Linked DNA regions of Canis lupus familiaris. The protein of the gene in region 2 purifies or fractionates together with the protein of the main gene of each other region. This does not show direct contact. Links are inferred from orthologs where the notes say so. Each region holds a gene or a part of one and is shown on either strand. Other genes may lie near its edges.

Region 1 (5,502 bases), on a different chromosome or scaffold from region 2:
AGTAGTCAGTGATGAATAACAAAGATGAATCATTATTCCTGATTATTGGATACCCTGATCATACAGCTGTCATTCCACCCTTCTGTATGAGCACAGACACAATTCCTGCTGAAGATACTTTGCAAAGGCATCATGAAAGAATATTTGTCAAAATAGGTAATATTGCTAAGTGTATCCTGGCTTCCGGCCTCTTAAAGTCAGTGCTTTGGGGCTCATTCTTGCCCCACGTGGGACTCATTTAACAATCAAATGGGGAAGCACTTTATTGTCTGTACTTCTCTCCATATATTTCCCCAAAGAATGCAACCACATTTCCCTCTCCTATTTTTTTAATTATTTTTTAAATATCTTATTCATTTATTCATGAGAAACACACAGAGAGGCCAAGATACAGGCAGAGGGAGAAGCAGGCCTCATGCATGGAGCCGGACGTGGGACTGGATCCCAGGTCTCCAGGATCAGACCCTGGGCTGAAGGCGGAGCCAAACCGCTGAGCCACCTGGGCTGCCCTTCCCACTCCTATTTTGACAGCATCGGCATATGCTATCTCTATATTCCCTGCCATCAAAAGCTGCTTTGGGGAAACAATCTGATGAATTAGGTATAAATGACTAATAAGGCTTAAATGTTACCTTTCCCAGGATTACAGCTTTGTTCTAGGGAAATAAACTACTCAAAGGGATTAAACTCCAGCAGCAAAATTTTAGGTGAGCTGGAGGAGGGGTTTTGGTTAGAGAAAGTTTTCCAGCCTAAGTGGTAATCAGCTGATGGGTCCCCAAGGAGGAGTTTAAATAGGGGGAGATGGTGTGTGTGGGGGGGATAAGGCCAGGGTCAGTACAGGTCCTAACCTAGGGACTGGTCTGGTCCTATTATTTAGGTTTGGGAATCTATGATGCCACATTTAAAGGGGTCTTGAAGAATCCCTGGGTGGCTCAGCGGTTTAGCGCCTGCCCTCAGCCTGGGGTGTGATCCTGGAGACCAGTGATCGAGTCCCACATTGGGCTCCCTGCGTGGAGCCTGCTTCTCCCGCTGCCTCTCTCATTGTGTCTCTCATGAATAAATAAAATCTTAAATAAATAAAGGGGTCTTGAAGTAACCTGAGACCAGATACAACATTGGAATTCCAGATTGCAGCTGGTATGGGGAGACACTCCATCCTGGGGCTTCTTCACTAGGGTGACCCTTCCAGCTCAGGGCTATGCTACGGAGTTTGGTCAGACCGAAGCCAGTTTTTGCAAGGGGAGCAGGCAATCCTTTTTGTGAGATTAAAAATAGCAGTTAATGGGGATCCCTGGGTGGCGCAGTGGTTTAGCGCCTGCCTTTGGCCCAGGGCGCGATCCTGGAGACCCGGGATCGAATCCCACGTCGGGCTCCCGGTGCATGGAGCCTGCTTCTCCCTCTGCCTGTGTCTCTGCCTCTCTCTCTCTCTCTCTCTCTCTGTGACTATCATAAATAAATAAAAAAATTAAAAAAAAAAAAATCAAAAAAAAAAAAATAAAAATAGCAGTTAAACAATACACCAACCTTAAGATTTTAGGCAATGGCTAAGATTCATAGTCACGTGACTTAACTGGTTCGGTGTCAGTTACTATTACACCTGGCTGTCCTTTCGTTTCCAAGCAGCCGTAGTTCTACGCTCTCCCACCTCCAGTGCAGGACTGAGTCAGCCTGAGCGCCCTGGTGCTATTTGGGAACCTTCAACTTCTGCTCTTGCCCTAAAGAACTACCTGCGTTCATTCCAGCAGCTCTGCAAGTAGCGAAAATGCTGTGACACTAACCAGACGGTCTTGACCACCTCTGGAGTGATTCCAAGCGTTTTCACTCGCGTCCAGCTCACCCCGGTGAACAATCAATTCTTCGATGGACTTTATGAACTCCTTCCTTTGGATGCAAGCCAAACATTATCTATAGGGCATACGGTTCTTTACTCAAACTTGGCAATAAATGATTATCTCTGGAACACAGACGGAAGGACTGAAGCAAAGGCGTGGGGGACCCAGCGGCTCCTCGGCGCCCCGGCAGGGTTCCGCGCCGCGGAGGCTGGGGGCGGGGAACGGTTTGTTCCGCGTCTCTTACGCTCCTGCTCCCGAACAAGGCCGTCCTGTCTGTTAACGTATTTAAGGCAGTGACTGCAAAAAACTGTGCAATGTTATGGTCGCAGCGCTCTCTGCCATATGTGTTGGTGGAACGCTTAGGAGTCTCGCTCCGCAGTAAACGCAAACCGTGCCAGGCTGGAAGACCGCGGCCCGCGCGGCGAGGTGCAGGGCTGCGGCGCCGGGGCCGGGGGCCGGGGGCCGGGGGCCGGGGGGCCGGGGGGCCGGGGGGCCGGGGGCGCTCCCCGGAACAAAGGCACGATCCTGAGGCCGTTTCGCGGGCCGTCCCCCCTCCCCCCACCCCAGCGCCAGCTTTGTCTCCTCGCGCGTGCGAGGCTGAGACTCGGAGGAGCCCCCGAGCCGGAGGGGCCGGCGTGGGAAGCTGCCCCGGCCGCCGCTGCGGTTTCCTGCAGCGCGACGAGCCCTTAGAGGAAGTGGGAGGGCCGCGCGGGGCTACCTGCAGCCCGCCGAGCGGGGCTGGACCTGAACCCCGCGCCCCCGGGGCCGTCGTGCGCCGGGGCCCAGGCGGCTGGGAGGGCGGGGGGCTCGGCGCCCCGGCTGCGCGGAGGAGCTGGGGTCCCGGCCCAGCTGGGCCTCGCGCGCGCAGCCCCGCCGCCGGGCCCTCCCCGCGCCCCCCGCGCGCCCCCGCCCCGCCCCCGCCTCCGCCCCCGCCGCCCCCGCGCGCCGGCACTGGCTCGCGCAGGCCTCCTGCCCGGCCGTGGGCGGGGGGGCGAAGCCCGCGGGAGGCGCCCCGCCCCGCCCCGCCCCGCCCCTGCCCCGCCGCGCGCAGTCTCTCCCCCTGCCCGCCGGGGCGGTGGCGGTGGCGCTGCTGCTGCCGCGCGGCCTGCGAGGCCGGCACTCCCCTCCGCCCGGCTCCCTGCTCCTCCTTTCTCTCCCTCCCTCCCTCCCCCTCCCCGCCCCTCCCGCCCCTCGCAGGCTCGCCAGCCCGAGCGAAGGTGGCGCGGCGGCGCGGGACGCAGCCTCGGCCCCCGCCGCGGCCCCGCGAGCCCGAGAGGACCCCCGCGCCCCGCCCCCCCGCCCCCCGCGGCCCCCCGCGCCGCCCGGGGGCGCCCCCGCCGCGGCCGCCCGGAGGAAGCGCGAGCCGGGGAGCGAGGGGCCGGCGGCGGGAAGCCGGGAGAGGGAGGAGAGCGCGGCTCGAGGGCCCGCCCGCCGCGGCGCCGAGAGGGACGGACGGACGGACGGACGGCGGCCGGGGACGGGAGGGGCGGGGCGGGGAGGGGCGGGGGCCGCCCGCGAGCTCGCCCGGCCCCTCGGCGGCGGCCCCGGGGCGGCGGCGGGCGGAGGGCGCGGCGGGCGCTGTCGAGACAATAACCCGGAGCCGGAGGCCTAGCGCGGCCGGGACCCCGCGCCCCGCGCCCCCCGCGCCCCCCTGCACCCCCCGGCCCCCGGCCCCCGGCCCGGGCCCGCCGCCGCGGGGACGCACTTGCGCGCCGTGATTCCGGGCGGTGTCACGAGTGAAAAGTTTTTTTTTTGCTTTTTTTTTTTTTTTTTTCCTGCTCGGCGGAGATCCCGGTCGGGCTGGGACGGCCCTGCCCCGCGGCCCCGGAGCGCCGCCCCGCCCCCGCCGCCGCCGCCGGCCGCCGCCCGGGCCCGCCGCACATCCGCTCGGCCGCGGCCCGGGCGCCCCGGGAGGGAGCGGAGCATGGCGGGCGGAGCGGCGGGGGAGCGGCCCTGAGCGGCGCCCCGACAGGTAACTAGCTCCCGCCGCAGCGCCCGAGCCCGAGCCCGAGCCCGAGCCCGGAGCTCCCGGGTCCCCCCGCGCCCCCCGCGCCCCCCGCGCCCCCCGCGCCAGCCCCGAGCCAGCCCCGCGCCAGCCCCGCGCAGCCCCGAGCCGGGTCGGGCGGGAGGCGGCGCCGGCGGCGGAACGGCGGGACCCGGGGCCGGAGACTCGAGACCCCGAGACCCCGAGACCCCGAGACCCGGCGCGGCAGGTCCTCTGTGCCGCCCCGCTCCGCAACGCCGACTTCCCCAAAACCTATACGGTGTGTGCACTTCTGCATCAGGGAAGTTGCTGAACCCGGCAACTTCTGTTTTGGGGGGAAAAAGTTAGGTCCCTGCAGCGAGGGCTTTACCGTCGTTGAGATGGCTGCCGCAGTTGTGGGTCCTGCTACCGGCTATGGGACTTTTGCCTTAATTTTTGTCTATTTTATTTTATTTTATTTTATTTTATTTTATTTTATTTACTTTATTTTATTTTATTGATTTAATTTTACTTTATTTTATTTTTTTATTTAATTCAATTTTACTTTATTTTATCTTATTTATTTTTTATTTACTTTAATTTTACTTTATTACTTTATTTTACTTTAATTTATTACCTGTATTTTATTTTACTTTATTATTTTTTATTTTATTTTACTTTATTTTATTTTATTTTACTTATTTTATTACCTTTTATTTTACTTTATTACCTTTTTTATTTTACTTTATTATTTTTTATTTTATCTTTATTATTTTATTTTACTTTTATTTTACTTTATTACCTTTATTTTATTTTACTTTATTATTTATCTTTATTATTTTATTTTATTTTACTTTATTTCATTTTATTTTACTTTATTTTACTTCATTCTATTTTTCTAGTTGCAACCTTTAGAAACGTCTTTGGTTGGATTTTTATCCACAGACTTTGCCCTTCTGAGTCTTCCCTGTTGTGTTGTTTTTTGTAAATTTTAGGTGAGTGATCTGTTTCTCCAGTTAAGTGGCTCCTTTCAGACATTTACAACCCTAATGATACTTGTTTGGTCAATGAATCGAAAGCAAGTTTTCTGCTCAATGTTTCTTGTTAACTGACCTAGGAAGGAGAAGGAGAGAGTGAGCGTTAAGGTCGCCCAGCCTTGTAGTGAAAAAAGAAAAAACAAAAAACAAAAATACAGCCGTGAGTAGTTTGATCTGTTAAGACTTCTCTGCAGTTGAGAACAGAATGTATAGAGAGGGAAGTGAAATGCTTAAAGGGATCGTTGTGGGAGTCGTATTGATTATAACAAACATCTGTCCCTTTAGAATAGTACTTTCCTTACGTCTCTGTAGGTTTTAGGTTTTGGTCCTAAGGTTTTGGCTGGTTCTGTCTAATAAGCCACAGGGACCTCCTGTGGGGGCAGGAATTAGTGAAGCACGGGAGACAGCCCACCAGTCGGAGTTATAAACACTTCTGAGCCAATCGGTAGTCTTTGTAGAAAAAACTACTTTGCTCACAACAAACACAAATAGCTTTTTTAATCGGTATTTTAGTGTGTCTTAATTTTTTTTTTCTCTCAGTACTTTGGTAAAGTAGGTGAAACCTAATACTGTGCTTTTGAATAAATGTTAAAGAAGTGTGGCATCCTTTGGTAGGTATATCCTAACTATAAATTAATATTTACTTTGCTCGTGCTACCCTATGAAAAAT
Region 2 (5,459 bases):
CTTCTTTGCCAATCATGACTTGTCTGTCCCTTAAATCCTAAACACACCTCTGGAATCCTTTGTGGTCACCAAACTGTTTTCTCTATACTCTCTGGCCCCAGCTTGGAATTCTAAGCCCCCATGGACCTGAGCCTATGGCTGGGATTGCCCTAGCTGGGGCCCCATGCCCAGCATGCCTATCCTCCCAAGCAGCCCTGGACAGAAGGGCTGCCAGGCCCAGTATTTGGGACAAGGGAGACAGAGGCCATGGCGAGAATCCAGCTTTGACCTTTATTCAAGAGACCAGATGGGTTGCCCCAGGATCTGTCGGCCAGCCCTGAGGCCAAGCAAGGCTGGAAACCCACATCTGGCCCTGCTTTGCCCTGAGCTGCAGCCTCAGCCCCAGGATCCTGCTTGCCACCACTATAGCAGGCGGAAGGGGCCCTGGGGGATTGGACGCTGCTATTGATTCATTAAAAAAAAAAAAAAATACACCAAGGCTCCGTGTTCCCCGTGACAGGTGGGCCTGGGGGGCCAGCGTGAACCCCCTATGGCCACGTAATTTCTGTACAAATCCACCATCTGGGGCAGAGTGCGGGCACGCGGAGGCTATTTCTTGGCTTTGGCGGAGTTGCGGGGTGGGGTGATGGGCCGGCCTCCAGGGTTCAAGCCACTGAATTGCCCGTATTTCCCCTTGTTCTTGTCAGCGGGCTTGAGTATCTAAAAAAGACAAGAGCTGGTCAAACTCATGGGCTAAGCCACAGGGTCACCAGCCCCCCTCCTTCCCCCATCCCAACCTGGAAGGAGCACATGAGTGTCTCATCCACACTCATCATGGCGCCTGCATTGTCAAACTCGCCACAGTAGTTGGGAGCCGAGAAGAGAGTCACCAGCTGCCGCTTGGCAAAGAATTCATAGCCATCTTCTACCACCTGGATGAGGATGGGGGCAGTTTGTTCAGCAGGTGCTGGCTACCCAGGCCCCACTCCCACCCGCCCCAGAGCTGCCAGCCCACCTGGTGTGCCCGGCAGATGAGGTCCAAGTCGTGCTTGTGCAGGAATTTGGCCACTACCTCAGCCCCAAAGGTAAAGGAGACACCACGGTCATTCTCGCCCCAGCCCTGCACGTCCTTGTCAGGGTCAGACCACAGCAGGTCGCACAGCAGGCCCTGGTCCGGCACGTCTGTAGGCCGCATGATACGCCGAATCTGCTCCATGGACTGCAGGTCTGGGGACAGGCCTGGGGGAGGGCAGGTTACTTGCTTAAGCCTCAAAACAAAGAGTGACATGCAAACCAAGACCACTGGGAGAGGTCTTCCAGGTGACGGGGAAGACATCCTCCAGCTAACAGCCTCATCCCAGGGCTCCCCGGGATGTGGCCCAGGGCTCTTCCTTCCCAAAGAACCCTTCAACATGTACCCTAGAGCCACTCTCACCTCCATGGCAGCAGAAGATCTTCTCATCCACGATGGCAGCAATGGGCAGGCAGTTGAAGCAGTCAGTAAAGGTCTTCCACAGTTTAATATTGTAGCGTCTCTTGCCTGCTGGGAGGAAGGAGATGCCTCATGAGGCCTATCTGCCCCACAGCCAGCCTGGGTCTTGAGGCCCTCCAGACACAGCTGGGAGAAGAGAATGGCAGACAAGAAGAGAATCCCCCCTCCCCCGACTCCGCTGCCTACCAGCCTTCCAGGAATTCTAAAGCAGCTAGGTCCAGAGGAACCTGAGTTCCAATCCGAAACAACCCACCCGCACCCAGTGAGCAGGGCCAGGCCAAGACTAGGCCTGGTTTATCTCAGCTTCTGGTTGGTAGGATCCAGTCCAAATAGGCATCCCAAGTGCCTAATGGATGTCCTGGAGGGGAGTGTCATGAGGCAGGGCCCTGCATTAGAACATGGGCAGTCCTCAGCAGTCACTCCCCAGACCCCTCCTGCGTGCCGGCCCCACGGCAGGAGGGCAGGCAGAGAGGCACCAACTGGTGTGCACCCTTCGCAGAGCTCGCGGTCTGTGGGTAGTGGTCAGACACCAATTCCCCTACTGCCAGGCCTATGTGAGGGTCTCCCCGAAAAGGGAAGTCACTTAAGGACTTGGGCTACTCACACTCATCGTAGAAGCCATAGATGCGGTTGATGCTAGCACACTCATGGTTCCCACGGAGCAGGAAGAAGTTTTCGGGGTACTTGATCTTATAGGCCAGCAGCAAGCAGATGGTTTCCAAAGACTGCTTGCCCCGGTCCACGTAGTCCCCCAGGAAGAGGTAGTTGCTCTCTGGAGGGAAGCCACCATACTCGAAGAGCCGCAGAAGGTCGTAGTACTGGCCATGGATGTCACCTGTAACCCAGGGAACCGGTTCAGCGCTAGGTGCAGGGGCTACACTTGAACCCAGGGCCAAGTTCGGGCTCCAGGGAGCAGCAATGCAAGGACTGGGCGGGGTGAAGTGGGGATTCCACTTTCAGAAAGCCAAAGGGATCTGGGCAGCAGACTCACCGCAGATCTTGAGGGGTGCCTCCAGCTCCAAAAGAATGGGCTGGCTCAGGAAAATCTCCCGTGATTTGAGGCACAGACCACGGATCTCGTTCTCTGTTAGCTGTACATTCTTTCCAGGCCGCGAGCCCTGCACTGTGGGAGGAATGGGGTGTCAAGACTCTGGTCCCTCAGGCAGGAGGAAGGTGGGCGACACAAGTGGCCCTATGGGCACATCTGAGGGCGCCTGGGCCTCCTAGGCCCCTCCCTGCCTAGGGGCAGCTGTTGCTGGTGAGCCTCCCAGGACCTCCGCCTCTGGCCTCCCAGGATGGGACCCCCTCGAGGGGGTGTGCTGTGCGCGGGGGCCTGCCACCCAACACCCCACCCATAGCGCAGGACCCCTGGGAGGGGTGGAGCTAGGCTTCTTAGGTTTCTCCCTCACTCCCAATAGCGCAGGCCAACCCGTGCGCCCCCCGCCCAGGAGGGGGGCTGCTCCCCGTGCCAGAGCGTCCCCGGAACCCCCCTCCCCCGGCGCGCCGCGACTCGGGGGGCGGCTGTGGCCACGGGACCTTGCGGCCCGTCCCCGCCCAGTCTAAGCTGGCCCGGGGAGGGGCAGGCCCGCCCGCGCACCACTTCCGGGCCAGGGCGCGGCGGGCACCGACCTCCCCGGCCCCGGCCAACCTTCCAGCAGGCGCCCGATGATGGAGTCCAGGTTGAGCTTCTCACTGTCGGACATGGCGGCGCCGCCGCTCCGCCCCAGCAGCTCCGGGCCCGCTCCTGCCGCCCTCCCTCCCGCCCGCTGCCTCCTTCCGGCCTGGCGCTCCTTCCGCCCGCCCCGGCCCGCCCCGGCCTGCCGCCCCGCCTCCCCGGCCCGCCGCCCCGCCCTGCGCGCTGCCCCCGCGCTCTAGCGCTCCCGCCGGACACCGCGCGCAGCGGCCGCGGCGGCCCGGGGGGCGGGGCATAGGGGACGGGGCGGGGCTCGGGCTGAGCTCGGCCGTCGGGACGGAGCCCGGCCGGTGGGTGGAGCTCGGAGGGCGGGGTCGAGTCTGGTCCCGCCCCCGAGGAGTTACCCGAGTCCAGTTCCGAGAATATGGGGCCGGAAGTGCTGTGGGAGTTGTTTGTCTCTGTCAGACGCTAACCCACCCCCTGGGCGGGAGCGTGGTATGAGCACATTAATAACCGATGCTCCAGACACTGCGGATCAAGTCCTCGAAGTGCAGAAAAGGAAACGGAGACTCAAGAGATAGCAGGGGGGTGGGTTGGTCCAAAACCCTGGCCTCACATTCACGGGGGGCCTCCACCTCCTGAGTCTCTGCGGCCCTCAAGGCAGCTGGCCAGACCCAGGCACCTGCCGCGGCGCTCTGAACCCATCTTGGTCCACGCTGTGCTGCACGCTGAACTAATTTTTGTAAGTTCCGTTATTGCCTGCTGAGTGCATAATAACGCTGCGTTAGGTATATATTCAAAGCATTACTTGTAAAGAGCAAATATTAAATAAACGAGAATTCTCACTGGAATCTTGAATTGTTTTAACCTCAAAACTGGAGGGGCCTGGCCTCTGTAACTCGGGTGGGTCCTGGACTGGTCACACCCTGCTCTGGAGCCCAAGCCTGCAGCCACCCAGCCCATGGGGAGGGTGGGAGGAGCCCACGGTCCTGGGGGCACTGGGGCAGGCCGGAAGAGCCTCAGAGAGGAAGAGGTGACCCCCCCACACACTTGGGAGGGGAGTGTGGGAGGGGCCCCCCAGCCGGTGGCTGAAGCTGCTGAGAAGGAGGAAGTGAGAGGAGGAGGTGAGGTGCAGCAGGGAGGTAAGCTGGCCTGGGGGGGCAGGGGCTGGGCCTGGGGACCAGCCTCTACACAGAGGTCTGGCTTTTCTGCCATTTCAAGGCTCACTCTCACCCTCACCCTCCCACCCCGATAAAAGAGGGGACAGAGGGGGCTTGGTGAGATGCCCTGAAGTCTGTGCCCTCTGAACCCTGCAGCCAGGTCCCCGGGCTGGGGACCGGCTGGATGGGAGCTCAGGCCCCAGGCTGGTCAGAAGCTGCCTCTCACACTGGCTTTCCCCACATCTTGCAGCCTGTGGTAGCTTGGGTCTGGGGCACCATGGCCCAGGCCCTGGGGGAGGACCTGGTACAACCTTTCGAGCTGCAGGATGACTCAAGCTCTTTGGGGTCCGACTCAGAGCTGAGTGGGCCTGGCCCATATCGCCAGGCTGATCGCTATGGCTTCATTGGGGGCAGCTCAGCAGAGCCAGGGTAAGTGGGGAAGGGATGAGGGGCAGTGGGGTGCTGGGAGTGAGGATGGGGGTTGAGGGCTGAATTCTAGAGACAGGCTCAACTCCTAGGGTCCTAGAGGGCCTGGGGACTCAGCCAGTGTCCCTACTCCTCATGTTCCAGGAGGAATCCTAAAGCTGGTAGGGCTGCGGCAAGAGTGTCCCTCATGTGTCTCTTTGACTCCCAATCTCCCAGCCTTTGCACCTATCCTTGGGGCCAGATATCCTTCTGCTTTTAATCCCTGCCATGATAATCCCAGAACCAAACCAAAGAACCCACACCTCTATCCCTACCATCTTCCTTTCCAGATATACAGACAGGAAAACAATTCCAGATAGGAGCTTGCCCAAGGTCACACGGCAGATCAGATAGAATCAGGTTCAAACTCAGGACTCCTAGCTTCTAGCCCTTGGCTCTGGCCACCTGCCTCTCTTATGAGTTGTCTGTGTTCCTGTCCTGGAGGACAGCCACCTGGCCCCTGCCCTCCCCCAACACACACCTACACACCCCCTTCAGCCTCTCCTGCTTCTGCCCACATCAGAGCCACATTTTCTCCTGTCCCTATGACAACCACTGGCAACTCCTGGGTGATAGGTTACCCCCCACCCGGGGCTCCCTAGAGATCCCCACAACCAGGAGCTGAGTTTACCCGGGTAGCATGGAAGGTGGCAGAGGTGGGCTCTGGGTGAGAGCCAGCCAACGCCTCGATGCCTGTGCCTTGTGCCCACAGGCCAGGTCACCCTCCTGC

The links.
Region 1: the proteins of PPP1CA (region 2) and ERBIN purify together in Homo sapiens (affinity purification with mass spectrometry; 3 studies listed by BioGRID and IntAct, counting the BioPlex papers as one, with this or other methods). This does not show direct contact. The link is inferred for Canis lupus familiaris from reciprocal best matches to the Homo sapiens genes PPP1CA and ERBIN.

What each region holds. Positions count from the first base shown.
Region 1 is NC_049223.1:50,842,328-50,847,829, forward strand, and holds the start of ERBIN (erbin), read left to right. Parts: upstream 1-2,236; 5' UTR 2,237-2,258; intron 2,259-3,710; exon of another isoform or gene 3,711-3,804; intron 3,805-5,502. UniProt on the Homo sapiens protein: Acts as an adapter for the receptor ERBB2, in epithelia. By binding the unphosphorylated 'Tyr-1248' of receptor ERBB2, it may contribute to stabilize this unphosphorylated state.
Region 2 is NC_049239.1:50,564,416-50,569,874, reverse strand, and holds PPP1CA (serine/threonine-protein phosphatase PP1-alpha catalytic subunit), read right to left. Parts: upstream 3,271-5,459; 5' UTR 3,175-3,270; coding exon 3,120-3,174; intron 2,595-3,119; coding exon 2,463-2,594; intron 2,307-2,462; coding exon 2,076-2,306; intron 1,520-2,075; coding exon 1,415-1,519; intron 1,219-1,414; coding exon 995-1,218; intron 912-994; coding exon 777-911; intron 700-776; coding exon 589-699; 3' UTR 456-588; downstream 1-455. Other genes in the region: TBC1D10C (carabin), read left to right, coding at 4,449-4,693, 5,442-5,459. UniProt on the Homo sapiens protein: Protein phosphatase that associates with over 200 regulatory proteins to form highly specific holoenzymes which dephosphorylate hundreds of biological targets.